Linked DNA regions of Macaca mulatta. The protein of the gene in region 3 interacts with the protein of the main gene of each other region in a biochemical or structural test. Links are inferred from orthologs where the notes say so. Each region holds a gene or a part of one and is shown on either strand. Other genes may lie near its edges. The genes, in order: CDC73, TXNIP, PTPN11, INSR, SRC, EGFR and SIRPA.

Region 1 (3,500 bases), on a different chromosome or scaffold from region 3:
TCTCCAACGTTGTAGTTTTCATCTCAAGTTTGTTTTGCTCTTTTTTTTTTGAGATGGAGTTTGGCTCTTGTGACCCAGGCTGGAGTGCAATGGCGTGATCTCGGCTCACTGCAACTTCCGCCTCCCGGGTTCAAGCGATTCTCCTGCCTCAGCCTCCCGAGTGGCTGGGATTACAGGCATATGCCACCACACCCGGCTAATTTTTGTATGTTTTGCTGTTTTTTAAAAAACATACCTACTTTATCTTTTTATTTAGCTTGTTGAAATATAGAACATAGTTCTTGTAATTATTTTCATGCCTTGAGATTAATTGATATTTCTCTTAATTCTGCTTTATTACATGTCTGCTTTATTACATTTTCCTGCTTTATTACATGTCATGTGATCTTTGATTGCACACCAAACATTGTGTATACTTTTTACCTTGTCGAGTGCTAGATATTGTTATATTTCCCCACATCGTCTTTAGCTTTTTTTGGGACACAGTTAAATCTCTTGGAAACAGTTTTGGTCTTGATTTTAACTTATCTGAACATTGGTCTGCTAGGGTAATTATTCCCCACCCACTGAGGCAAGACCATTCTGAGTACGTAATACCTCATGAACATGAGGTTTCATTCTGGCTAGTGGAACAGGCACTATTCTTCACCTTGTGTGGCCACTAGGCATTATTCTGTCTAATTATTCTGTCCAAGGCCATGTCTTGGAAACTTACAAGGCAATAAGCTGAGGCAGTCATAGGGCTTACCTTGTTTGTTTCTCATTTGTTAGGGAATTACTGTCCTTCATTGCTTGATATCTAGCATCTAGTAAACCATTGTTTTATGTATTTTGACTGGTTATTTAAAGGCTGGAGGGTTAGTCTAGTCTCTGGTACTTCATCTTGGCTGTAAGTAGAAGTTCTATGTTTCAAAGTCCATTGGAGGCTTGATTATAGTTTGGAGAAGTACAGTGGTCACCCAGCCACCTTCCGGGGATATGTTCCAAGACCTCCAGTGGGTGCCTGAAACCTCGGATAGTCCTGAACTCCAGCCAAGGAATCCCAAGGTCACCTTGTCATTTAAGGGAAGCACTTTGGGAGTGGCATATGCGAATTGCTAGCGTCACTACTCTTGTGTTTTGGGGCCATTATTAGGTAAAATAAGGGCTACTTGAACCTAAGTACTTTGATGCTGCCATTGTCAATCTGATAACCAAGATGGCTATTAAGCGACTACTGGGCAGGTAGTGTGTACAGTATCGATACATTGGACAAAAGGATCATTCATGTCTGGATATCCCAGGCAAGTGTCCCAGGCAGGACAGTACAAGATTTCAACAAGCTACTGAGCATGGCACATAATTTAAAACTTACGAATTATTTATTTCTGGAATTTTCCATTTAATATTTTGGACTGTGGTTGATAGCGGGTGACTGAAACTGGAAAGCCAAACAGTGGAGTACTGTATTTGAATTTGGCTTAAGGTATGCTGGTGTGCTTTAGATTTTAAGGGAAATCTGCACAGTATTACACAAAATGCATCAAATGCCAGGTGCATATGAGCACTACTATAAAGTACCTTCATACCTAATCTAAATAAAATTAGAATACTATATAATACTACTGTATTTAAACCTGCAGGGATTTTCATCCTTTTTCCAGATTTTGTGTAAACATAATTCAAGATTTTCATCTTGTGACTAAAGTAATATTTTTGTCTACTGTTATTAAGGTACCCAAACACTTTTTAATTCTTTTTCTCGTTTTACATGATAAAAGATACTTTGCTTAAGATTATCGTTTTATGACATGTATACTTTCAGTGTTAAGTCTTTTTTCATATTTCTGCAAACATAGTCTCTTTTTACTATTTTGCCTATTTGAAAATCAAGGAAAGGGAAGAAAAAGGAAACTGTATAAAATAAAATACGGTTTTATCTTCCAGAGATTAAAGGAGTATGTTTTTGTGACATAAAAGCCTGTCACTTAATTATGTTCTGCACTATGGCATACAAGTTTGAAACCTTGAAATAAATTTCAAGGAAAACCTAGGCTTTGAACTTTCTGTAGGATGGATTTTTTACCCCCTTCCAAAGTGGCCTCTGTGTGTGTGTGTAATTTCTATAGACAGAAAAAATACAAAGAAAAGCACCTATATTAATGAGTCCTGCTTTTTTGCGGTGAAGAGATGAAAAACCATCAAGAATTTTGTTGCACTGACACTTCTAAGAAATTACTAATTTGCTCTCAGTGTAGTATCTTGACATAAATTCTTTATAAAAATTTTATTGTAATTGCAGAATAGCAAGTCAGTCTTACAGATAAGAAAACCTTAATTATTGCCCTTAAAGTGTTTTTAACAGAAATTTATAAATGTAACAAAATATATTTATGATACACTCCGGGAATCCTTGCTGTGAAAATTTAAAAAAGAAATTGCTTTTAGGTCTTTATCTGAAGCTATGTCAGTGGAAAAAATTGCTGCAATCAAAGCCAAAATTATGGCTAAGAAAAGATCTACTATCAAGACTGATCTAGATGATGACATAACTGCCCTTAAACAGAGGAGTTTTGTGGATGCTGAGGTAGATGTGACCCGAGATATTGTCAGCAGAGAGAGAGTATGGAGGACACGAACAACCATCTTACAAAGCACAGGAAAGGTAATTTATTTTACTCATTCATTGGAGTGAGAGAGATCGAGAGAGAGAGAGTGTGTGTGTGTGTTTAATCTGTGGTTATAGAATTGGTTAAAGTTTGCTCTTAGGTGGAAGTTTCAAGTTTTATCTCTTTGAGAGCTCACTAATAATGTAGATTTCCAGATGGTGATTTTTACCATTCCATTCTTGAATATGGTTGTTATTCATCAGAGATGCTGATGAAAAAGTAGGAATCAAAATACAAGCTCCTTCACCTGAAACATGATTTGCAAATCAAAGAATGGTCTGGTTTTCCTGTTGAGTCATTTTTGCTTAAACCTAATAAACAAGGAATAATATTGATGACAAGTTCTCTGGTTATTAATGCCATCATTTTTTTCCCACATAGTAGAGAACTTATGGAAATCTGTAGCAAACATTTATTGAGTATATTTTATACACTATATTCTGTTGTGTGGGTATAGCAGTTTTTTCATTTGTTCCCTGTTAGTGGAAATTGTTTTCTTTTGTTTTTGCTCCAAAGAGGGTGCGATTTTTCTCCCTTTCTCTGGCCTTCCTTTCTTCTCTCTACCTCCCTCTGCCTTCCTCTCTTTCTCCTCCTGTTTCCCTCTCTTCCTCCTTCCCTTGCTTCCTTTTCACCGTTATGAATAATGCATCAGAAAACATTGTTGTACATATACCTTTGTGTATTTATGTGTATATAGACAAAGGATTAATTCTTGGAAACAAATTGCTGGTTAAAGGAGATATGCACTTTATATTTTGAAAGATAAAAATCTGAAATACTTGAATGTCCAGTATTTTCATGGATCTCCAAAAAGAGGATGCATTTACCCTGATTTATGTACTTACTTTCATT
Region 2 (4,100 bases), on a different chromosome or scaffold from region 3:
ACCAACAAAGGGAGGGTAAGGGTCTCTTCTGGCTTGAATTTATAGTGCTCTAGTGACCGATCTTTCTTCTCTTTTCCTTCTTACTGTTTTCTAAACCGTTTAGGGAAAAACCTTTGAAAATATTTTTAAAAATTGTTCCTTCAAACAGGTGTATGGCCATCTCTCCACTGGAAATTTGGATATAAACAAGAGGACTTTCTTGCTTTTAACCAGATTTATGGATGTATATTTGATTTAGTGAGTTGGGAGAGGGGAGGGAGACAAGAAAGAGTGAACATAACTCTGGAAGAAAGTGAAAAAAGTGAAGCATCCTTGTTCCCCGCCCCCCCACTTCCTTTTCCTCCAGAAGCAGGTAGGGAGTGCGAGATTATCAGCGCCTGGACACACCTCACTAAAGAGGTAATGAGGTAAATGGGAAACACAGACAAAGTGTTCCCCAACTTTGCAGGCAGAAATTGAAGAGATAACAGGATAAGCAACAGGATGTAAACACGCCTGTCCTATTTCCGTGCCAGAGAACAGAGAGAACAGAAGAGAGGGTACAAGGGGCGGGGGGTGACGAACAGCACACGCACGCAGCCCCCAGCCCTAGCCCCAAGGGATTGGAACGGGAAGTAGAAGACATCAGTCCTACAGCCGCAATGAGGCCTGAAAGTTCTCCTTTCCCTCAGAGATGGTGGTGTTTTTTTACATTTAATAGGGATGCGGGGCAAGAGAAGGACAAAGGGGCTGTTCCTTAACAGTAACACCAAGCATTCTGTGCTCCACGGCCCCAAACCTAAAAGTATTCTTGGAGCTATGGGATTTTCACACACTTGCTATTTACGAGCCACGAATAAACGACAGACTATAAAGTAATTGCACTGGCTAAGACTAGGCATGAAATTCCCTCATAAGCACATTTTCTTTTTACCTCAAACCACCGCTCTCAGACCAGAAACGTCCACACCCGCCCTCCGATGGCCTGTCGCCCTGGCTAGGTTTTAGGGTCAGTGGTATCCTCCTTCCACTAGGCCCGGGTGAAGACTCAACAGCCCCCTCCTTCCCCGCATTCCTCTCCTTCCCCCCTCCCTGCGCCGCTCCCGAGCACAACAACCATTTTCCCCGCCAGGAGCACACCGTGTCCACGCGCCTCAGCGATCTCACTGATTGGTCGGGCTCCTGGTAAACAAGGACCGGGCAGCCAATGGGAGGGATGTGCACGAGGGCAGCACGAGCCTCCGACCCAGCGCTCGCGTGGCTCTTCTGGCCGGGGCTTCTATATAGAGCCGTTTCCGCCTGCTGCTTGAAACTAACCTCTCTTTCTCTGTCAAGAAGTGCTTGCGGAGATCGGATCTCTTCTCCAGCAATCGGGGAAAAGAAGACTTTTTCTCTGAAATCGCTTAGTGTAACCAGCGGCGTAAATTTTTTGGACGCCTTTTCGAAAACCTAGTTAAAATTCATTTGTTTAAATCTCATTTTATTTTTAAGCTCAAACTGCTTAAGAATATCTTCATTCCTTAGGAAGAGTGAAATAATTTACTGCAAAGGAATTTCCTCGATTTGGTGCATTTTTTTTTTTATTCTTCCACGGTCTTTTCTAACTCTCAAACCAACTCCGTCCCATCATGGTGATGTTCAAGAAGATCAAGTCTTTTGAGGTGGTCTTTAACGACCCTGAAAAGGTGTACGGCAGTGGTGAGAAGGTGGCTGGCCGGGTGATAGTGGAGGTGTGTGAAGTTACTCGTGTCAAAGCCGTTAGGATCCTTGCTTGCGGAGTGGCTAAAGTGCTCTGGATGCAGGGATCCCAGCAGTGCAAACAGACTTCGGAGTACCTGCGCTATGAAGACACGCTTCTTCCGGAAGACCAGCCAACAGGTAAGCGGCCCAATTCATTGTTGGAGGGTGAAAGCTGATTAGAGAAGAGAATTGAAAGGAATACACAAAACTATACGAAATGTTTTAAGTTGCTCAGTTTGAGTGGTGTGAATTGCACGTTGTTACTTCCTTTTTTCTAATTTGCAGACATTCTCCCCCCCACACCCCCCAAAAAAAAGGGTGGTTTGTACAATTTTTTATGGTGCTGTGTCCTAAAGGTGGTTCTGAGGGGCATTGCCTCGGATAGTTAAAAATCTTATGTGTGCATTAGTTGCTTATTCTTTGCCTACTTCCTGTTTGAGATGTTAGTGAAGAACTGTCCTGGGTGAATCTTTAAAAGCATTGCAGGGCAACCTGGGAACTTGCTGCCCAACAAAATACATCAGAATTTCTCTTTAAGAACAACATGGGATGATTAAAATACCTCTCTGTGGGACGAAATTAGGGGTACTTCAATACCTTGCATGCCACCCAAACATTCCTTATCACACAGATGCATTTTAAGTGTAACAGGAAGCCTAATGGCTACTCGATTTTCTTTCCCTTCAGGTGAGAATGAGATGGTGATCATGAGACCTGGAAACAAATATGAGTACAAGTTCGGCTTTGAGCTTCCCCAGGGGTAAATATCAGCTAAATGCATCTTTGAACTTTTCTGTCTAAAATATCTTGCCCTCCTTTGATCACTTACTGTTCCTTGGAGAGCATTTAAAAATTTTCATTTTCTTGACACAGGCCTCTGGGAACATCCTTCAAAGGAAAATATGGGTGTGTAGACTACTGGGTGAAGGCTTTTCTTGACCGCCCCAGCCAGCCAACTCAGGAGACAAAGAAAAACTTTGAAGTAGTGGATCTGGTGGATGTCAATACTCCTGATTTAATGGTGAGATTCATTTTAAAGATTATATTCTCCTGGGTCACAGGGATGATAAATCAGATGTCTTGGGCATTAGATTAAAGCATCTCAAAACACTTTTTTGTCCCCTTCTACATAGGCACCTGTGTCTGCTAAAAAGGAAAAGAAAGTTTCCTGCATGTTCATTCCTGATGGGCGGGTGTCTGTCTCTGCTCGAATTGACAGAAAAGGATTCTGTGAAGGTAAAATCCTAGTGCTTATGGCAGACAGATATAACAGGAACTAGGTTTAGGGGCAAGGGCATGGGACTGGGGTAGAGGAAATGTCATTAACTATACTGAGTATCAGTAAGTTTTCATTTTTCTCTTTGCTAGGTGATGAGATTTCCATCCATGCTGACTTTGAGAATACGTGTTCCCGAATTGTGGTCCCCAAAGCTGCCATTGTGGCCCGCCACACTTATCTTGCCAATGGCCAGACCAAGGTGCTGACTCAGAAGTTGTCATCAGTCAGAGGCAATCATATTATCTCAGGGACATGCGCATCATGGCGTGGAAAGAGCCTTCGGGTTCAGAAGATCAGGCCTTCTATCCTGGGCTGCAACATTCTTCGAGTTGAATATTCTTTACTGGTGAGTAGATGCAGGGTGGGTTCAGCAGAGAAATTGTTCATCTGTTACCATAACTGTCTTGTTTCACCAGAGCGCTCTGGTCTAACAAACTACCATCTTCCTTTTCTAGATCTATGTTAGTGTTCCTGGGTCCAAGAAGGTCATCCTTGACCTGCCCCTGGTAATTGGCAGCAGATCAGGTCTAAGCAGCAGAACATCCAGCATGGCCAGCCGAACCAGCTCTGAGATGAGTTGGGTAGATCTGAATATCCCTGATACCCCAGAAGGTGAGCCAGACCTAATGTCTTTTCTTCATTTCTGGTCTACCTGGGTTTGTAAAATTGTGATGGTCCAGCATTTCTTGGGCAGGCTTCTTACGTGGCCATATTTTCTTTTCTAGCTCCTCCCTGCTATATGGATATCATTCCCGAAGATCACCGATTGGAGAGCCCCACCACTCCTCTGCTAGATGACATGGATGGCGCTCAAGACAGCCCTATCTTTATGTATGCCCCTGAGTTCAAGTTCATGCCACCACCTACTTATACTGAGGTGAGAATTGTCATATTTACTGTTAAATTTGTCCTAAGCTTTCTATAAGAAGTTGACTTAGAGGGATTGCTAAACTGGTTTGTTCTTTTAGTTCTTACCTGAACTGAAATAGTCTGTTTCTTCCTTTAGGTGGATCCGTGCATCCTCAACAACAACGTGCAGTGAACATGTGGAAGAAAAGAAGCAGCTTTACCTACTTCTTTCTTTTTGTCTCTCTTCCTGGAC
Region 3 (3,500 bases):
CAGGTGTCTGACACCACGCCTGGCTAATTTTTGTATTTTGATAGAGACAAGGTTTTGTCATGTTGGCCAGACTGGTCTCGAATGCTTGACCTCAAGTGACCCACCTGCCTTGTCCTCCCAAAGTGCTGGGATTGTAAGTGTGAGCCACCACACCTGGCCCATTCTGTTCTCTTCTACCATAAATATATTTCTTCCCCAACACTATATTTGTTTGCCTCACAAGCTTCCAGCTGCTTTCTACCAACGCCTTTGAAGGAAGCTGTGCTGTGACCTTTGTAATGAGTCTGTGGGCTGCTGATTCTCCAGTCTGGGCTTCATGATTATACTGGGGAACATTGGGTCTCCTAAATCTCATTCATTTCTTGGGCAGGTAGATATATGTGAAACTTTTTTATTTGTCCAGTTGTTAAAGAAGCTACCATTTATTGAGCCAGCCTCTGAGCACAATGTTTTTTGTTTTTAATTTTTAAAATTATTTATTTCTTCTATTTCAGTAACTTTATTATTATTATTTTTTGAGACAGAGTCTCACTCTGTCACCCAGGCTGGAGTGCAGTGGTGCGATCTCAGCTCACTGCAACCTCTGCTTTCTAGGTTCAAGCAATTCTCATGTCTCAGCCTCCTGAGTAGCTGGGATTACAGGTGCATGACAACATGCCTGGCTAATTTTTGTGTTTTTAGTAGAGACGAGGTATTGCTATGTTGACCAGGCTGGTCTGGAACTCCTGGTCTTAAGTGATCATCTTGCTTCGGCCTCCCAAAGTGCTGGGATTATAGGCGAGAACCACTGTGCCTGGCCCTCTTTCAGTAATTTTGATGTATTTTTTTGTATACGATTCCTGTTTCATTCTGTCCAACCAGCACTCTGTATGGTATGTGCTGTTGTCCCCATTTCACAGATGCGGAAACTGAGGGTCAGAGAGGTTAAGGGACTTAACTCAGGCACGTTGTACTGGAGAAGCTGAACTCCAAGAGCAGGTTTGGGCTGACTTCAAAGCCCTGTGCTTTTTGCCAACATATTTTCAAACATAAAGAGACAATTTTATAAATAGCTCCCAAGAGTAGACATTGTTTCTGTTAATACTAATGGCTTGGTTTTGAGTCTGAAACCCCCATGAATGATTCTGTTGTCCCTGCTTTTTGTCCTTCTGCCCGCAGTGCTGGAATTGGCCGGACAGGGACATTCATTGTGATTGATATTCTTATTGACATCATCAGAGAGAAAGGTGGGTCATCTGGCGGGCAAGAAGTGACAGTTTCTGTTTTTAGTTTATGGAAGGAAAGTGCTCGTGAAAACAGCCTAGGGAAGAGAGGTTGAATGGGAAAAATTTTTCACAAAAATCTGGGCTGAAGACTTCAGTGTGTCTGCTTGAGAACAGAAGTGACACTATTTGAGCTTTTGGCATAAAATGAAGTCTAGGAGCTGCTGAACCCACTGCCGTGGCCTTTTGTTGCATACACAGTGGTGGTCTCTATCCAGCCACCTGAACCTTGTTTACAGTATGGGGTGATTTGTTGGAAAGTGAGGGAATCCTGACCTCTGCCACTTTATTATTTATGTAGTCTTCTGGGATCTTTGGTATTGGTCAGAAGTTCAACACTGTAGCCATTGCAACATGCTCAATTAAAACAACAAAGACTAAATCAGCATTGTCTGTGAGTCCACTAAAAGTTGTGTGTAAACAACTTCATCCTGGTTCTGCAGTTTCTCTTTATTCTTCTTGATGTTTCCTTCGTAGGTGTTGACTGCGACATTGACGTTCCCAAAACCATCCAGATGGTGCGGTCTCAGAGGTCAGGGATGGTCCAGACAGAAGCACAGTACCGATTTATCTATATGGCGGTCCAGCATTATATTGAAACACTACAGCGCAGGATTGAAGAAGAGCAGGTACCAGCCTGAGGGCTGGCATGCAGATTCGCATTCTCTTTCTAGGCCTCTTGGATACGCTCTCCTTTTGAGCAGGAGGAGAGGCTCTGATAGACAACTGTTTGATTTGGGAATGGGAAACAAACTCCCAACTAAAAGGGCTTCTGGAAACTGTTAATTATTCTCTACTTCTCAGCTCTGATTTTTCACTGCAGAGGAGCTTAGGGAAGGGCACCATCCTATCAGCCTGGCCTGCCAGATTGAAGAACTGCCATGCAGAAAGGTCTGATGTTCCCAGGCTCACGTGGCAAGCATAAAACTCAAAGCCTTGAAGTTTCTAGCCTGTTCCAGCCTTGATCCAGGCCATGTTTATCCTGATTCCATCCTTTAAAACGAATGCCTCACTCTTAATAGCGCACAGCAGTTTGAACCACTAATTTGGTCGAGTTGGAAACAGTGAAATTTCAATTTTAATAAGCTGTGCATAATGAAGAGGAATGTGGAATTGGAGCCTTTCCATCTGAAGCTATTCATAACAGGCACAAAGCTGAGTTAATTAGGAATATGCTGAGATGAAGGAAATGAGGAGAACTGCTCTTTTGGGGGCTGTGCTTCTCTCCCCCACCCCTCAACCCCATTGCCATGCTGCAGATGGGGTAGTGTCTAAACATCAGTGACGATTGCCTGCATTACTCTGCTCATTGCCTTCCAGAGAACTCAGCTTCTCCAAATGCTGAGCTCTTTTCAGAATGGGACCTGCCACCAATATTTGAAAGATTTCTAGACTAGCAGAATAGCAGCCACTTTATCAAAGTTTGGTGGGCCAAAGTAAGGTAACTGCTAATTAGTTTAGTAGGTTTTCAGTCCACACAGACATACGGAATTGTTTTATTATACATAGACATCTTCAGAAACTGTATGTATAGAAATTAAGGTCAAAATTTGAACTTCAGTGCTTTATTTTTTAAAAATTTTTATTTATTATTGTTATTATTTTTTGAGACGGAGTCTTGCTCTGTTGCCCAGGCTGGAGTGCAGTGGCACGATCTCGGCTCACTGCAAACTCTGCCTCCCAGGTTCACACCATTCTCCTGCCTCAGCCTCCCGAGTAGCTGGGACTACAGGCACCCACCACCGCACCCGGCTAATTTTTTGTATTTATAGTAGAGATGGGGTTTTACCGTATTAGCCAGGATGGTCTTGATCTCCTGACCTCGTGATCCACCCGCCTCGGCCTCCCAAAGTGCTGGGATTACAGGCGTGAGCTACTGCACCTGGCCAACTTCAGTGCTTTAAATCTGAATTTGTATTAAGTGATATGAAATATTTAGATGGTTACTATAAGTTATTTTATATATGTCTTCCATTATACTTAATTTGGCCCAAGAATAGTTAGGCAAAAAGTTGCCCAAAGAGAAGGATTTCCTAGTAAATACAAAGCAAATGTAGCATAGTTACTACAATTTGGAGCATGTTCAGGAATGTCTTTTTTTTTTTTTTAAATGAGAGAGGTCTCTCTCTGTTGACCAGGCTGGAGTGCAGTGGTGCAATCATGGCTCACTGCAGCCTCAGTCTCCCAGGGTTAAGCGATCCTCCCACCTCAGCCTCCCAAGTAGCTGGTACTACAGGC
Region 4 (3,500 bases), on a different chromosome or scaffold from region 3:
GGGTTTGGAGTCAGCCAGGGGCGGTGGCTTATGTCTGTAATCCCAGCACTTTGAGAGGCTGAGGCCGGTGGATCACCTGAAGTCAGGAGTTCGAGACCAGTCTGGCCAACATGGCAAAATCCCATCTCTACTAAAAATACAAAAATTAGCCGGGTGTGGTGGTGGGCTCCTGTTATCCCAGCTACTCAGGAGGCCGTGGCAGGAGAATTGCTTGAACGCGGGAGGCAGAGGTTGAGTGAGCCAAGATTGTGCCACTGTACTCCACCCTGGGTGACAGACAGAGACTCTGTCTTAAAAATATATAAAAATAAAAATAAAGGTTTTGGAGTCTGTCTCCGCCTGCTGTTTTGGAAGCTCTACAGGGGCAGGAATCCACTGTATCACGGGGACAAGAGCAGGGTTTTAAATGCCCCACAAATATGTGTGGCAAGGATGAAAGTGCATGGGACTCAAAGAGAAACAAAGGAGCAGAAAGGCAGGAAGAGTTCGTGCTGCCTTCAAGGGAGAGTAGGAATGATGGCAGGTGGTATGAGGTGGACCTCTGTGTGGTCCTGGGTTACAAAGGAGCCAGGAAAAAGCAAGAAATGGAGGAGTCTAAAAAGCAACAGAAGATTCTGGAAAATGATGGAAGAGTCCAGAAAGTGGTAGAAGATTCCAGAAAATGATGGAAGATTCTAGAAAGTGATGAAAGAATCTGGAAAGCAATGAAGCATTCCAGAAAGTGATAAGACAGTGATAGAGTCTGGTTCCAGGCAAAGTGGGAGAGGATGTGATTTGAGAAGGGAACAATCCCTCCCCACACCTTTAGGATGGGTAGTAGAGTGGGGGTTGGGCAGGAGGTTACACCCAGTGTCCTCTGTCACTCTGTGCAGGAGGAGGAGGCAGAGAGAGGGAAGGGGCAGGAAAGCCAGCCCGTGTCCCACCCCCGCTGGACTCACCACATGATGGCAGGTGAAGCCCTTCATGACCGAGGCCTCATTGAGGAACTCAATCCGCTCTCGGAGACTGGCTGACTCGTTGACCGTCTTCACTGCCACGCGGGTCTCTGCCTCACCCTTGATGATGTCCCTGGCGTTGCCCTCATACACCATGCCGAAGGAGCCCTGCCCCAGCTCTCGAAGGAGGGTGATCTTCTCTCGAGGCACCTCCCACTCGTCCGGCACGTACACAGAGCATGGAAACACTACTTCTCACTTATCTACACAGCATCTTTGGCTGATCCCTTGGGGGTCTGCAGCCACCTTCCACCCAAGCCCTCACCCAAACCTCCTCGAAAACACTCATGAAGTGAGTTCTGTGATCCAGGACCCATGCCAGGCACTGGGCGTACGGCTGAGAACAGGACAGGCATCTGCACCCATGGAGAGGGCATGGCAGAGACTCAAGGAAGGAGCCACAACTGATTCAAGATCCTGGTCAATATGTCCTGAGGCAAACCTGCATCCCCATCCTTCTTGTCTGATTTCAGATCCTTGCCACAGAATGGTGCTACTTCCCACCTGAGACTACTATTTCTGCAAAGTGCCAAGGGGATGGTAGACAGGTTGTAATAGGTTGGGGGTTAAAAAAAGCCAGGATACTTGGCAGCTCTTTCCATGAAAAGGTGGAGTCTATCTCACCACCCCTTGGCTCTGGGCATGGCCTTGTGAGTTATTTTGGTCAATGGGAATCAGCAGGAATGACCCAAGCAGAAACTCCGAATGGACTATTGCCCTGGAGCTTGCCCTCTCTTGCTACTAGGAACCAACAGAGTACCATGTAATGAAGCCTAGGCCAGCCTGCTGGAGCCTAAGAGGCCACATGGACAGAGTGAGGCTCAGCCTCCCCCAGCTTAGGGCCCCCACGTCGGGACCACCCAGCCTGCCGACCACCAGACATGTGAGTGAAATCATCTAAGACTACAAAGTGCTAGCTGACACACCAGCAAAATGTAGCTACATGGGTGAAGCCAGGCAAGACCAGAAGAAGAACCGCCCAGCTGAGCCCAGCCCAAGTTGTCGACCCCATCCAAGGGTCCCAGACCGGCTAGATGAGCCCATCCAGGCAGGTGCCAAATACCATGTGTCCACATGCACACAGTAATGAGGTTTCTGCAGCAAGGGCAGTTTGGCAAGCTCAAATGACTAAGAGGGCTTTTCTTGGCCTCCCTGGGGAACCCATCCTTCACTCTCACTCAATGGTGAAGGCAAAGGAAGCTGTTGAATAGGGTACTGGTCACCCACAGGGAAGGGATGGTACTCACCATCACTGGCACTGAGATACTCAGGGTTTGAAGAAGCGTAAAGCGGTCCCAGCGGCCCATCTGGCTGCCTGGAGGAGAAAAATGAGGCACATTAGCTTGAGGTTCTCATGGGACTCTGCAGGTCTCCAGAAAGGGGTTTCATACAAGACTCCTCAAGGCAAATGGCAGCCCTTACCAGCAGAATCCCCATAATTCTAGATGCAGTCTAGGGCAGGGATGGGGGACCTTTATGTTTTGAATGGAAGCCCATCAGACAAGTACTTAAGTGCATCAACATGGCAGCAGCACTGATCCCTCCCCAGGTTTTTTTTTTTTTTTTTTTTTTCACATTTCAGAGTTGGAGTCTTGCTGTGTTGTGGCTGGACGGCAGTGGTTTAATCATAGCTCACTGCAGTCTTGACCTTCTGGGCTCCAGAGATCCTCTCACCTCAGCTTTTTGAATAGCTGGGAATACAGGTGCTCACCACCACACCTGGCTGCTAATTTTTAAAATTTCGTAGAGACAGGGTCTCACTATGTTGCCCAGGCTGGTCTTGAACTCTTGGTCTCAAGTGATCCTCCTGCCTCATCCTTCTGAGTGGCTGGGATTACAGATGTGCACGACCATGCAGGGCTCTGGCTGGCTTTTATTATAATTTATGGCCGTCTATGTAACACTTAAAAGCCACTCACCCAGTACTGTTCTACAGCGAGCTCATCCCGACTGATGAGAAACAATTATTAAATTTTCAGGAAACGAGTGAGCCAGTTATTAAATACAAGCATCATTAACGATTAAATTGTGGCCGGGCGCGGTGGCTCAAGCCTGTAATCCCAGCACTTTGGGAGGCCGAGGTGGGCGGATCACAAGGTCAGGAGATCGAGACCACAGTGAAACCCCGTCTCTACTAAAAATACAAAAAATTAGCCGGGCGCGGTGGCGGGCGCCTGTAGTCCCAGCTACTCAGGAGGCTGAGGCAGGAGAATGGCGGGAACCCGGGAGGCGGAGCTTGCAGTGAGCCGAGATCGCGCCACTGCACTCCAGCCTGGGCAACAGCGTGAGACTCCGTCTCAAAAAAAAAAAAAAAAAAAAGATTAAATTGTACAATGCCTTCCAAATAGAACAAAAAAATGTAAATTATAGAGGCTTGCAATTAAATAAATTACCCTAAAAGCAAAGACAATACATGTTCAAAACTCATCACTTTCTAACTCTCATACTCCATTTTACTATGATCAATGCAGTTGAGGTTATTTACCTTATATCATTTATACACCA
Region 5 (4,242 bases), on a different chromosome or scaffold from region 3:
GTGCCCAGGTCTTGGCGTGGATTCACCTGTTAGCCTTTGCAACTACCTGAGGGTGACTATGGGCATCTCCATGGTACTGAAGGAAACTTCAGTCCATGTGCCCAGAGTCCTCCTGTGGTGGCAGCAGGGTCCCCTTAACCATGATGCCCCCACCTGGCTTGGGCAGGTGCCTGACAAGCCCTTCTGCTCTCCCGTCAGAGAGAGGATGGCTGCCAAAGGGCCAAGTCCCTGCCCGCCGCCTTCCCCCTTCATCCCCGCACAGGCCTGACACTACACCCACTGCTGCTCTTCCCTGGCCCGCCTCCCACCTTTCCCCCGCCACTGGGGCACTGTTATCAGGAGGCATTCCAGGACTGGCTGAGAACAGCTTCCACCCTGGGCCCTTCTGAGCGGATGTGATCACTGATAGGATGCCCTGCTGGGGCCTCCTTTAAGGAATGGGCTCTGGGGTACGAGACGGTGGAACCCAGATAGTCTGGGTTTGCCTCCCAGTGCTGTGTCTTATGAGCTGTGTGACATCAGGCAAGCAGCTCCACCTCTCTGTGCTTCAGTTTCCTCATCTGCAAATCAGGGCCCGCCACAGAGGGCTGGGGTGGTTCACTGAGTTCCTAAGCATGGTGCGCGCCACCCAGCAACACCGTGATGGTGACGCTGTAGCTGTTGTTATCCTCTGAGGATCAACCATCCCTCCTCCTTGTGGGGCCCCTGGTTTATTTGGCCTCTGTGTCCACCCCCTGATGAGGGCATGGCCGGAGGACCCCTCTGGACTTTCTCTTCTCCAGGTCTAGAGGACAAGGAGAGGGTGAAGCTGAGAGAGGCTATGTTCAGAAATTGGGAACCTGCTGTGTGATCTTGGATGGCCCCTCTCCCTTTCTGAGCCTCCATTTCCCGGCCTGCTCTATGAGCCTGTGGACCTGGCCCCTCGTTATCCCTGTCACGATACTTTCTGTAGTTCCTCCCTCGGCCAGCCCAGCTACATGGCTTTTGACTGTCTTTCCCACTATGGCATCAGTAGGTGCTCAGCTAAGCCTTGTTGGAGGAGCCTGGCAGTGCACCATTGAGTGACTGTCCAGGGCTTTCCCACTCCTGGCCTTTTGCTTGTGTGGCCCCCTTTGCCAAGAATGTGGCCCCCATTCATCTCTACTTGTGGAAATCCTTCTTGTCCTCGAAGCCCTTCGCAAATGCTGCCTCCCCCAGGAAGCCTTTCCCAGTTTCTCCCAGCCAGAGGGGATGCTGGTCCTTGGAACACTTGCTCTGAGGCTCTCTGGTGGTCCCTGTTACAGTGCACTGCAGTGTCCATAGTTACAGATGAATGGCAAACAGGGACTGTGCACTTACTAGGAGCCAGGCAGCGGGGGGGGGGCCCTGAGCTTGTGCTGTCTTATTTCATCTTCCACACCAGCCTTGCAAGGTGGATATTAATCCTATTATCCCTCCCTTTACAGAACAGAGAACAGAGGCTCAGAGAAGTGAAGCAACTTGGCCAGCTATGAGAGACAGAGCCAGGATTTGAAACCAGGTAAGTTTGTGTTTTTTCTTTAAAAAGGAAAGAAAAAACATCACACACACACACACACACACACACACACACACATACACACACACACGACAGGGAAAAGTAAGTCTCTCTCACACCCAGGTCTCCTTGCCAGAGTCAACCACTTGAAAAAATTTCTGGTGTATCCTTCCAGGGAGATCCAGGCATATATAAGCATGTATATTAACAATTTTTTTAGCATAATGTGAATTTCAATAATGATGGGAATGCCAGGTGTTGATATTTTTAGCTTCCGCACTTGACTCAATATTACACATTTGCAAAGAATTTTGTTTTTTTCTTAGGGTCTTACTCTGTTGCCCAGGCTGTAGTGCAGTGTCACAATCATGCTTACTGAGGCCTCGAACTCCTGGGCTCAAACGATCCTCCCACCTCAGCGTCCCAAGGAGCTGGGACTGCAGGGAAATGCACCACACCCAGCTAATTATTTATTTTTTTGTAGAAGCAGAGTCTCACTATGTTGCCTAGGCTGGTCTTGAATGTCTGGGCTCAAGCAGTCCTCCTGTCTTAGCCTCCCAAAGTACTGGGATTATAGGTGTGAGCCATCACCCCCAGCCGGAAATTTTTTTCTCTTTTTTAGATAAATGATAGCACACAGTCTACCCTGTCCTCAACTGACTTTTTTCTCTTGACAGTGTACCTCAGAGGTCATTTATTTGTGCTGCATTTTTCTTGTTCATGGTTGCGTAGTATTCCACTGCATGTACGGTGGTCACACTGTACTTAACTAAGGACAGATATTTTGGTTGTTTCCAGTCTTTTGCTTGTTCTAGGCAATTCCACAAATGAATATCCTCAATCATATGCCTTGTGTTTGTGTGTTCTTTTAGGATTAATTCCACACTGCAGGGTCAGTGGGTGTGTAATTGTGATAGGTATTGCCAAATTGTCCTTCAGAGAGATTGCGCTGGTGTCCCCACACCCTCTGTTCTCCTCACTCTCACCAGCATAGGATGTTACCAAATTTGGGGATAAATTGCATAAGTGCAATTTGCCGAGCTGATAGGTGAACAGTGGCCCCCAGTGTAGTTTATTTGAAAAATGTGTATCACAGCTTTACTGAGATAAAATTCACATAGCATACAATTTATCTATTTAAAGTATACAATTCGGTGGTTTTTAGTAGAGTCACAGAGTTGTACAATCGTCACCACAGTCAAATTTAGAACATTTTCATTACCCTACAAAGAAACTTTACCCATTACAGTTACTCCCCACTTCCCCCTAAACTTCCCTCCCCTAGACCTAGGCGGCAACTAATCTAGTTTCTGTTTCTATAGATTTGCCTATTCTGGGCATTTAATAGAAATGAAATCATTCAAGTGTACTCTTTTGCGGCTGACTTCTTTCACTTAGCATAATGTTTTCAAGATTCACTCATGTTGTAGCATGGATCAATATTTCATTCTTTTTTTCTTGCCAAATAATATTCTATCATATGGATATACCATATTTTATTTATCCATTCATCAGTTGATGGACATTTGGGCTTTCTGGCTATTACGGGTAATACTGTTCTGGACATTCATGTGCAAGTTTTTGTGTAGACATATGTTTTTCATTTCTCTTGAGTGTGTACCTACGAGTAGAATTGCTAGATCATATGGTAATTCCATGTTTAACTTTCTGAGGAACTGCCAGATTGTTTTGCAAAGCAGCTGCACCATTTTACATTCCCATCAGCAATGTCTGAGGGTTCCAGTTTCTCCACATCCTTGCCAACATTTGTCTTTTAGATTCTAGTCATCCGTCCTAGTGTCTGTGAAGTGGCATCTCATGGTGGTTCTGATTTTTTTTTTTTTTGGACAGGGTCTCAGTCTGTTGCCGAGGCTCACTGCAGCCTCAAACTCTTGGGCTCTAACAATCCTCTCATCTCAGCCTCCTGAGCAGCTGGGACCAAAAGTGTGTGCCACCACACCTGGCTCAGGCCCTTTTTTTTTTTTTTTTAGTTTGTAGAGATAGGGTCTCACCGTGTTGCCCAGGCTAGTCTTGAACTCCTGGGCTCAAATGATCCTCGCACCTCGGCCTCCCAAAGTGCTGGGTTTACAGGCATGTGCCACTGTACTCAGCCGTTTTGATTTTTATTTCCCTAATTACTAGTGACATTAAGCATCTTTTCATGTGCTTATTGGCCACTTGTATATCTTCTTTGGAGGAATGTCTATTCAAGTTCTTTGCCTACTTTTATTATTAATGTAATCTATTTTTTTTTTGTCTTAGCAACAAGGTCTCACTATGTTGCCCAGGCTAGTCTAGAAGTCCTGGCCTCAAGTGATCCCCCTGCCTCAGCCTTCCAAGTAGCTAGGACTATAAGCGTGTGCCACCATGCCTGGCTTAATTTTTTTTTAATTTTGTAGAGATAGGATCTTACTCTGCCACTCAGGCTGGAGTGCAATGGTGTGATCATAGCTGACTGTAACCTCAAATTCCTGGGCTCAAGCAATCCTCCCATCTCAGCCTCCTGAGTAGATAGGACCACAGGCATGCAACACCACGCCCGGCTAATTTTTTTTTTTAATTTTTAGTAGGGGTCTCACTATGTTTCCGAGGCTGGTCTCAAGCTCCTGGCCTCAAGAGATCCTCCTGTCTTGGCTTCCAAAGCACTGGGATTACATGCATGAGCCACTGTAAGAGATATTTATATATTGTAGATACAAGTATATGATTTACAAATATTTTCTCCT
Region 6 (4,231 bases), on a different chromosome or scaffold from region 3:
TTGTTTTCTGTCTCTGTGTTTCTATAGGGACTGCTCTCAGCCCAGGTGTGCAGGAAGCACACACGTGCCTGCAGAGCCTTCACCATCTCTGCATCCAGGGACTGACTTCAACGCACAGTGGCTGTACTGATCCGCTAAAACAAAGGAACAAATTACTTCTTCTAATTCACAGGGAAGTTCCAGGTTGTACGGGTGGTGAGGAGCCTTGTGTCTGTCTGCGCTTGCCGTGGTGAAAAACCCACCGTTCAGGCTGCAGGGCGTGAAACCCAGGCACAAACACTTCGCTGGATGCGGAGGAAAGATGCAAGGTTGCTCCCCTTCAGAGACAGCAAAGGGCAGATCTGTAGCTCTACTTACTTCAGGATTATGATTTTTGACAGAGCCGGGAGATCAGGGTTGTTGAACCAGGCCTGAAGGTCCTAGTGAATCTCGTGAAGAGAGGAGGGGTCTGACTGTAACATGGACCTAGAGGACATTCTTACTGCAGGAGAAGCAACAGTGGGGATGGGGTGGACTTGCCAAAGGAATGTAGCTCAAGTTCCTGCAGCCTAAAGCAGCTCAGTTTCTTTCGGCCAAACTTTCGCGAACTTCCCTGGCATTTCTCCTGCGGGAGCTACCGGTGCAGTGGGACACTTAGCCTCTCTAAAAGCATCTCCACAGCTGTTTGTGTCAAGCCTTTATTCCAAGAGCCTCACTTTTGCGAAGTAACGTGCTTCACACATTGGCTTCAAAGTACCCACGGCCGGTTGCAGTAAACATTGAGGAGGCCTGTCTCTGCGCCCAAAGTTGGGTGCTCTCATTTCAGACGATTTCTAGGGTGCTTCACGGGATCTGAAGGACCCTCGGACTTTAGAGCACCACCTCGGACGCCTGGCACCCCTGCCGCGCGGGCACAGCGACCTCCTCAGCTGCCAGGCCAGCCTCTGATCCCCGCGAGGGTCCCTGGGTGCTGCAGGGGAGGTGGGGACCAGAATAAAGGAGCAGTTTCCCCGTCGGTGCCATTATTCGACGCTGGCTCTAGGGCTCGGCCAGTCTGTCTAAAGCTGGTAGAAGTTTGTTCTGTAAAACAAAAGAAGGGAAAGGGGGAAGGGGACCCTGGCACAGATTTGGCTCGACCTCGACATAGGCTGGGCCTGCAAGTCTGCGGGGACCCAGTCCAGAGGGGCAGTGCTGTGAACGCCCCTCACGGAAATTAACTCCTCAGGGCACCCGCTCCCCTCCCGCGCGCCACCCCCTTCCCGCGGGAGACCGGGTCCCGCGGGGGTCACCGCTGTCCACCGCCTCCGGCGGCCGCTGGCCTTGGGTCCCCGCGGCTGGTTCTCCTCCCTCCTCCTCTCATTCTCCTCCTCCTCTGCTCCTCCCGATCCCTCCTCCGCCGCCTGGTCCCTCCTCCTCCCGCCCTGCCTCCCCGCGCCCCGGCCCGCGCGAGCTAGACGTCCGGGCAGCCCCCGGCGCAGCGCGGCCGCAGCAGCCTCCGCCCCCGGCACGGTGTGCGCGCCCGCCGCGGCCAAAGCGGCCGGAGTCCCGAGCTAGCCCCGGCGGCCGCCGCCGCCCAGACCGGACGACAGGCCACCTCGTCGGCGTCCGCCCGAGTCCCCGCCTCGCCGCTAACGCCACAACCACCGCGCACGGCCGCCTGACTCCGTCCACTATTGATCCGGAGAGCCGGAGCTTGCTCTTCGGGGAGCAGCTATGCGACCCTCCGGGACGGCCGGGGCCGCGCTCCTGGCGCTGCTGGCTGCGCTCTGCCCCGCGAGTCGGGCTCTGGAGGAAAAGAAAGGTAAGGGCGTGTCTCGCCGGCTCCCGCGCTGCCCCCGGATCGCGCCCCGGACCCCGCAGCCAGCCCAGCCGCGCACCGGCGCACCGGCTCGGCGCCCGCGCCCCCGCCCGTCCTTTCCTGTTTCCTTGAGATCAGCTGCGCCGCCGGCCGGGACCGCGGGAGGAACGGGACGTTTCGTTCTTGGGCCAGGAGAGTCTGGGGCGGGCGGGGGAGGAGACGCGTGGGGCACTGGGCTGCGGGCCGGCGGGGAAACGGCCGCCTGGACCTCCGGCGCCCCGAACCGCTCCCAACTTTCCACCCTCACTTTCCCCGCCCCGCTGCGCGGAATCGGCGTCAGTGGGCGAAAGCCCCGTGCGGGTGGGTGCCTGGGGCCGGGGTCCCGCACGTGCGCCCCGCGCTGTCTTCCCAGGGCGCGGCGGGGTCGCGGCGCGCACCCGAGGGACTGGCGCTGCCCACCCGCCGAGGCTGCGCTGTTTAGGGAAGCTGAGGAAGGACCCCGAAAATAAAGCCTCCCTTCGGACCCCGCGGGACAGGCGGCTTCCTGAGCGAACCTCCCTGCCTCCGCGCTCCGCGCAGGTCTCAAACTGAAGCCGGAGCCGGCCAGCCTGACCCCGGCCCCTCTCCAGGTCCCCGCGATCCTCGTTCCCAGGTGTGGAGTCGCAGCCTCAACCTGGGAGCTGGGAGAAGTCCGCCACCACCTGCGGCGCCTGGGAAGGGGTGGTGCTGGCGGCGGTTAACTTCCTCGTTGGCAAAAGGCAGGTGGGGTCCGACCCGCCCCTTGGGCGCAGACCCCGGCCGCTCGCCTCACCCGGCGCGCCCTCGTCTTGCCGGTCCAGGTATGCCCCCCACCTCCTGGGGACCCGAGCTCCCTCCCGGGCGCCGGCGCAGAAAGGCCCGGGCTCTCGTTCGGTGGCCGCCTCGCGGGGACGTCCGGGTCTGCCCCACCTGCAGCCCTTCGGTCGCGCCTGGGCTTCGCGGTGGAGGGGGACGCGGCTGTCCGGCCACTGCTGGGGGGATCGCGGCCTCTAGTGCGGAAGCCCAGGAAGCAGAGCTCATCCTGGCCAGCACCACGGTGTTTCAAAATGGGGCTCACAGCAAAGTTTTCTCCTCAAAACCCGGAGAGTTTCTTTCTTGGATGTTTCTTTTTGCTGTCTGAAGAATTTGACATTGAGCCAACCAAAATATTAAACCTGTCTTACACACACACACACACACACACACACACACACACACACACACCGGATTGATGTCCCTGGTTCAAGTGTGCCAAGTGTCCAGACAGAACATGAGCGAGTCTGGCTTCGTGACTACTGACCATAAACCCACTTGACACGGGAAACATGCCTCGGAAGGTTTAATTGCACAATTCCAACCTTGAGCTGCGCGGGTTCCAAGAGCCAGGCCCGTACTTGCTGTTGATGTCACTGGCATGGGGAGTTGGGGTTTGGTGCCCAGCGCGGTCGTTGGGGGAGGGGCAAGACATAGAACAGTGGTTCCCAGACCTTGCTGCACGTTAGAATTACCTGGGATTAAAAAAAAAAAAAATCAAAACAAAAACCAGTGTCTGAATCCCGCCCCCAGACATTCTGATTTAATTGGCATGGGGCAAGACCTGGACATGGGATTTTTTTTTTAATGCTTTTCATGTGATCTGTTGGGGAGCCAGGTTTGGGGATCACCGGACGGAAGAAGGATTGTTAAAGTCTCCGGAGAGATTACTTGCCAATGCAAAGAGCTCTTTGAGGACATCTGGAATTTTAACAATGTTGCCAAATATAGGAAAGAGGGAAAAGGTGGGGTGTGGTTCCAATAATAAAAGATTCCTCTTTTCATTGAAGGAACTGGTGGAAAGGTTTCTTCTCTGCTGAGCTTGCAGGGCCCCTCCTGCCTGCTTGGGGGCTGACTGCGGGTCCTGTTAGTCAGGTGTCAGCCCTGTCTCTGCTGAAGAGACTCTTCTCTTTATTTTAAATTAAACCCTCAGAGCACCTCCAAAGCATCACTTTTCTCCCTCCAGTGGGGTTCTCATTCTTTGATGTTACTTGCTTGAACACCACTGTTAGTGATTGGAGATTTGTTCCTGAGAAAAATATAAATACCACTTAATTTGCCTGTTTATCCCGTATTCACTCAAAACAGAAACTCCTGAAGACAGAGAGAGTAGGTGAACAGGCGCTATTCTGTTACAGTAACATAAAAGACTGAATTTTCAGGGGCAAATTATTAAAGTAGGAGATGAGCTCTTTTAACAGAAATTTGTTTGAGACCTGTGTCTATCAAATTCAGTCGATTTTATTCAAGATGCACTTTGTTTAGTAAGGGTTTTGTTTGGTTCTGGGACATGCTAACTTCTGGACTTGCTGCTCTTAGACGTAATGACTGCCAGACACCGTTTCATGCGTCCTAATCCCCACATTAAGCATAAGAGGTGTACACTCTCCTCCTATGGGGGAA
Region 7 (3,933 bases), on a different chromosome or scaffold from region 3:
GGAGATGCCACTCACTGGAGAGACGTGAACTGTATCAGTGCTCCCTTCCACCCAGCAAGGACCCAACTATAACTGAAAACAACTGGGGGTGGGGTTGGGGGGGAGTGGGGTGGGGTGATACCTATGTGAATTCCTGGGTTTCAGGGGAAACTGCAGGGCAGGGAGAAGCAGCTGTCCACCCCCCACTTCTTCTTCCACCCACTCTTTGCTAGTTCTCCCTTTCTCCCTGCTATCAGATGGTTACCATCTCTAGGCAAATGCAAAAGGGGGTGTTGGACACTGAGCTCATCTTTACTTCCCTCCTCAAGGGTGGGAGGTACAGAGAGACCCCTCTGCCTACAACACAGCTTCAAGAGAACAAAAAACAGGATCCCCATTCTCTCCCTCCCAACTCCCTTAACGCCATTTCTCTGCTCCCCCCGCCCCCAAGCCAGTGCCCTCCCAGGAGACCCATGGTTTTGCAAAACCCATTTAAGAAGAAGGACTCCTGAATGGTGACCTCACCCTTTGGTGAACATACACAGTAGCCTTCAGAGCCCGCCTGCCGGCGACAGCCAGGTGTTTGATGTAGGCCAACAGAAAGACATGCTCAGAGCCACAGGTAACATCCCCGCGGAGCACCTGAACTGCAGGGAGCTGCCTGGAAGCTCGGGGAAGGCAGGAGGAAGTGGGAGCTGGGAGCGCCTCGAGGAGCAAGACCACCAGGGAGAGGCTTTGGCAACCACAGGGACAATTCACCGTGTTTTTACATAAGGATCTGTTGCTTGCAGCAGCTCGCTGTGGGGTTACCGTGGCCTCCCGGTTCCCTCTCTCCCAGGCACACACTAACACTGGTTTACTTGGCGCACCAGAGGGAGGGCTCACTCTTCCCTAATTGCAACAGCTTGTCTCTGTTCCATTCCAGGCAGCATTGGGGGAACCTCTGCCCTCACCTCCTCCCCTCACACCCTGAAGTCAAACGTGGAAAGCCGTATGTCCATGGGGAGAGATTCTGGGGAAGGAGGACCGCCCTACTCTGAAAGCCACTGTCAGTCAGCCTTCCCCATTGGACTGGGCAGGGGCTGAGTGAAGCAACTCAGCTCTTTTGTCTCAGTGCCCAGCACAGTGCACACAGTCAGAGTCCACAGAGACAAACTCTCAGAGAAGAGACTTGGATTCTACCCTTGGCTGTGTGACCTTGGACATGTCGCTGGCCCTCTCTGGGCCTCAGTTTCCGCATCTATAACGCTGGTTACAGGCGTCTCTCTCCCTATTACTGCTCAGCATTAGCCGAATGGGTCCCAGTGCTAGTCTGAGAGGCCTGAGCCCGCAGTTTGGGGAGGGCAGCGGTGGGGAGCGGGGGGTGCTTACCTGACCAGGCGCAGGACGCGGTGAGCAGCAGGCAGAGCAGCGGCCCGAGGCGGCCGGGGGCCGGGCCGGCGGGCTCCATGGGCCGCGGCTGCGGAGCGAGGAGGGAGAGCGGCCGTGAGTGCGCGCTCGGGCGGGAGCAGGCTGGAGCGGGGAAATGACTAAGACTCCCCCCCTTCCCCCCTCCCGGCTGGGCCTCCCCCCGACTCCGGAACGGGCGCCTGGAGCGGCTCAGGAGCCGCCGTCGCCGCCGCGGTTTTTGGAGACCCCCCTCCCCGCCCCCCAGGAGAAATCGAGAGACGGAGACGGGGAGAGACCCCAAGCGCGCGAGAAATAAAGCCAGGGGCGGCCAGAGAGAGGCGGCAGGAGAGAGAAACAGACCCAAGGGAGCCAGGCAGAGAGCCAGAGACACAGAGAGGCGAGAGGGGGAGAAAGAGGGGGAGAGCGAGCGAGCGAGGAGTGAGCGAGGCGGCGCGCAGACCGAGACAGACAGCGCGGGAGAGAGGACCGCGCGAGCAGGGGCGAGGGGCAGCACGGCCGAGCCCGGCCGCGCGGAGCCGCCCCCGCCGCTGCCCACCTGCCCCGCCCGGGCTCCACACGGCGCGGGCGGCTGAGCTCGCTCCCGGCCCGCAGTCCCGGCCGCTGCCCCCGCCCTCCCGGCAGCCCGGCCCCCTCCCTCCTTCCCTTCCCCCCTCCTCCCGTCTTCCCGCCGCCCGGGGAGGCTTCGGGGCTCCGGCCCCGCCGGCACCTTCTCGGCGAGCGAGCGCCCGCCTGCGCGCCAGCCAGCAGCGCGCCCCGGGGGAGGGAGCGAGGGCTGCGAGCAGCGCGCCCGGCCGGGGAGGGCAGCGTCGCCCCCCGCGCCGGCGCCCGAGCCCCGGCACCCCCGCGCGGGCCCCCGGCTGCTGCCCGTGAAGGCGGCCCCGCGAGCCGCCGCAGCCCGCTCGGGCTCGGGACTAGACGAGCCTCCGGCTCCGACGATGTACCAGTTCAGAAGCCCGCGCGGTTCGTCCCCAGCCCCGACCCGTCCCGCTCTGCCCCTCCCCGTCCCTGCCAGGCTCGGACCTGCGCCGCCCGCTAGGGCTGGAAGGCACTAGAAGCGCCGCCGGGGCTACCCAGAGGCCGGGTCCCCGCTCCACTTTGCGCAAACTTGTTTTTCTAAGGTCAGCGCCGCGAGCTGGCTACATCGTCCTCTTAAGGTGGACTGGGGAAGTTGCGGCCGACCTCCCCTCGCCTCCGGATTCTGGCCGCGCGTCTACTCCCCGCTTCCCACTGGCGAGAGGCTGGAGGCGGCGAAGGAGTCGGGGAGTGGAGGCGCGGGGGTCGGGGGGTGTCTGCCTTTAACCCTCCCCAAGAGGTCGTGCCTCTGAGCCCCAAAGCTGAAGGCCCCTCTTGGGGATGGGTGCGGGCCGGAGGGGCCCGATCCTTTCAGAGCCGGGCCGAGGTGAAGGAAAAGAAGGAAGTAAGTGAACGCAGGGGGAAGGGGAGAGGAAGAAGAGAGTGATGGTACAAAAATAGCGTGTGTGTAGGAAGGACTTCGGTGCCGCCTGGAAAAGAGGAGCGGGGAGGAGAGGGAGCGAGAAGGGGGCTGTGGCGGGGAACCAGAGGGGAAGGGCCGGGGCCTTCCCAGGGAGGTGGGAGCCCCCTGGCCAGGTGTCTCGGTGGTGGAGGGCAGATTGAGGGGGTGGGGAGGCCCAGGAGGGGGCGTGTGTGGGAGAGCGGGGCCCTGAAGGCATGGGTTCCAGGAGAAGGACAGGCCCGGAAGAAGATGAGGGGTGGGAGCCGGAGCCAGAGGCTTGGAGTTGGAGAGGACAGAATCTCGGTTTTCCTGGAGGGAACGCCGTTCCTGTAGCAGCCAGGTCAGTGATGGGGAGTGTCAGTGTCCTGGTCACCTGGCAGAAGTAGGCTCCGCATTGTGGGAGGAACACGAGTTCAAGACCCGCTGCTAATGGGAGAGAATTTTGCTTCACGCAGTGGCAGTTAAGAGGGTAGGAATAACACAAGGTGAGAGAGGGCCCAGCCCTGTAAATGGACAGAACGTTGAGGCCCAGAGAGGGAATAGGTTTGCTTAAGGCCACACAGCAAAGCTTGGGGTAGCAACAAGATTTGAATTCCTGATTCCCAGGTTAAAGACCTATGCAAAGTAGCACCACCACCTCCCCTCCTGCCCCAAGCCTCCTGGTTAAATGCCTGGTCCTGCTGTTGTGCAGGGGGGCAGGGAGGGTGCCACACTTGAGAACATGGGCTGAACTCCCTGGGTTCAAATCCCCTGGTTACTGTTATGAGCTGGGTAGACTGGAAAGTACCTTACCTCTTCTGTGCCTCAGCTTCTTCATCTGAAGTGAGGCCAGCGTGAGTCTCAATTGTGAGGATTAGATGAGTTAATATTTGTAAGACGTGTTAAAAAGAGCCTAGCATATACCAAGTGCAGCATAAGCATTTGATAAATAAGTGAAGTGTTTGACAGCAGTCCTTGAGAACCCACAGGGTTTTGGGCAGCATTTGAAGTGCAAGGGAATTTTCATTTCTTTGGGTGTGGGAGAGCACGAGGTCCCTGTCCATGAGGAATTTATATTCTAGTAGGGGAGA

Evidence for each region.
Region 1: of the proteins of PTPN11 (region 3) and CDC73, one has a biochemical effect on the other in vitro, tested with the Homo sapiens proteins (2 studies listed by BioGRID and IntAct). The link is inferred for Macaca mulatta from reciprocal best matches to the Homo sapiens genes PTPN11 and CDC73.
Region 2: the proteins of PTPN11 (region 3) and TXNIP are reported together in a solved structure, tested with the Homo sapiens proteins (2 studies listed by BioGRID, with this or other methods). The link is inferred for Macaca mulatta from reciprocal best matches to the Homo sapiens genes PTPN11 and TXNIP.
Region 4: the proteins of PTPN11 (region 3) and INSR form a complex in vitro, tested with the Homo sapiens proteins (2 studies listed by BioGRID). The link is inferred for Macaca mulatta from reciprocal best matches to the Homo sapiens genes PTPN11 and INSR.
Region 5: of the proteins of PTPN11 (region 3) and SRC, one has a biochemical effect on the other in vitro, tested with the Homo sapiens proteins (2 studies listed by BioGRID and IntAct). The link is inferred for Macaca mulatta from reciprocal best matches to the Homo sapiens genes PTPN11 and SRC.
Region 6: of the proteins of PTPN11 (region 3) and EGFR, one has a biochemical effect on the other in vitro, tested with the Homo sapiens proteins (4 studies listed by BioGRID and IntAct, with this or other methods). The link is inferred for Macaca mulatta from reciprocal best matches to the Homo sapiens genes PTPN11 and EGFR.
Region 7: the proteins of PTPN11 (region 3) and SIRPA form a complex in vitro, tested with the Homo sapiens proteins (2 studies listed by BioGRID). The link is inferred for Macaca mulatta from reciprocal best matches to the Homo sapiens genes PTPN11 and SIRPA.

Annotation. Positions count from the first base shown.
Region 1 is NC_133406.1:50,674,708-50,678,207, forward strand, and holds part of CDC73 (parafibromin), read left to right. Parts: intron 1-2,427; coding exon 2,428-2,644; intron 2,645-3,500.
Region 2 is NC_133406.1:119,305,244-119,309,343, forward strand, and holds the start of TXNIP (thioredoxin-interacting protein), read left to right. Parts: upstream 1-1,300; 5' UTR 1,301-1,607; coding exon 1,608-1,857; intron 1,858-2,406; coding exon 2,407-2,479; intron 2,480-2,592; coding exon 2,593-2,740; intron 2,741-2,852; coding exon 2,853-2,955; intron 2,956-3,087; coding exon 3,088-3,344; intron 3,345-3,453; coding exon 3,454-3,610; intron 3,611-3,723; coding exon 3,724-3,875; intron 3,876-4,004; coding exon 4,005-4,040; 3' UTR 4,041-4,100. UniProt on the Homo sapiens protein: May act as an oxidative stress mediator by inhibiting thioredoxin activity or by limiting its bioavailability.
Region 3 is NC_133416.1:119,735,069-119,738,568, forward strand, and holds part of PTPN11 (tyrosine-protein phosphatase non-receptor type 11), read left to right. Parts: intron 1-1,158; coding exon 1,159-1,226; intron 1,227-1,705; exon of another isoform or gene 1,706-1,739; coding exon 1,740-1,891; exon of another isoform or gene 1,892-2,822; intron 2,823-3,500. UniProt on the Homo sapiens protein: Acts downstream of various receptor and cytoplasmic protein tyrosine kinases to participate in the signal transduction from the cell surface to the nucleus. Positively regulates MAPK signal transduction pathway. Dephosphorylates GAB1, ARHGAP35 and EGFR.
Region 4 is NC_133424.1:8,001,425-8,004,924, forward strand, and holds part of INSR (insulin receptor), read right to left. Parts: intron 3,059-3,500; exon of another isoform or gene 2,311-3,058; coding exon 2,243-2,310; exon of another isoform or gene 1,184-2,242; coding exon 939-1,183; exon of another isoform or gene 440-938; intron 1-439. UniProt on the Homo sapiens protein: Receptor tyrosine kinase which mediates the pleiotropic actions of insulin.
Region 5 is NC_133415.1:90,223,887-90,228,128, forward strand, and holds the start of SRC (proto-oncogene tyrosine-protein kinase Src), read left to right. Parts: upstream 1-1,442; 5' UTR 1,443-1,519; intron 1,520-4,242. UniProt on the Homo sapiens protein: Non-receptor protein tyrosine kinase which is activated following engagement of many different classes of cellular receptors including immune response receptors, integrins and other adhesion receptors, receptor protein tyrosine kinases, G protein-coupled receptors as well as cytokine receptors.
Region 6 is NC_133408.1:73,468,115-73,472,345, reverse strand, and holds the start of EGFR (epidermal growth factor receptor), read left to right. Parts: upstream 1-1,431; 5' UTR 1,432-1,692; coding exon 1,693-1,780; intron 1,781-1,919; exon of another isoform or gene 1,920-1,975; intron 1,976-2,331; exon of another isoform or gene 2,332-2,471; intron 2,472-4,231. UniProt on the Homo sapiens protein: Receptor tyrosine kinase binding ligands of the EGF family and activating several signaling cascades to convert extracellular cues into appropriate cellular responses.
Region 7 is NC_133415.1:82,190,265-82,194,197, forward strand, and holds the start of SIRPA (tyrosine-protein phosphatase non-receptor type substrate 1), read right to left. Parts: upstream 2,801-3,933; 5' UTR 2,410-2,800; exon of another isoform or gene 1,829-2,409; intron 1,439-1,828; 5' UTR 1,430-1,438; coding exon 1,351-1,429; intron 1-1,350. UniProt on the Homo sapiens protein: Immunoglobulin-like cell surface receptor for CD47. Acts as docking protein and induces translocation of PTPN6, PTPN11 and other binding partners from the cytosol to the plasma membrane.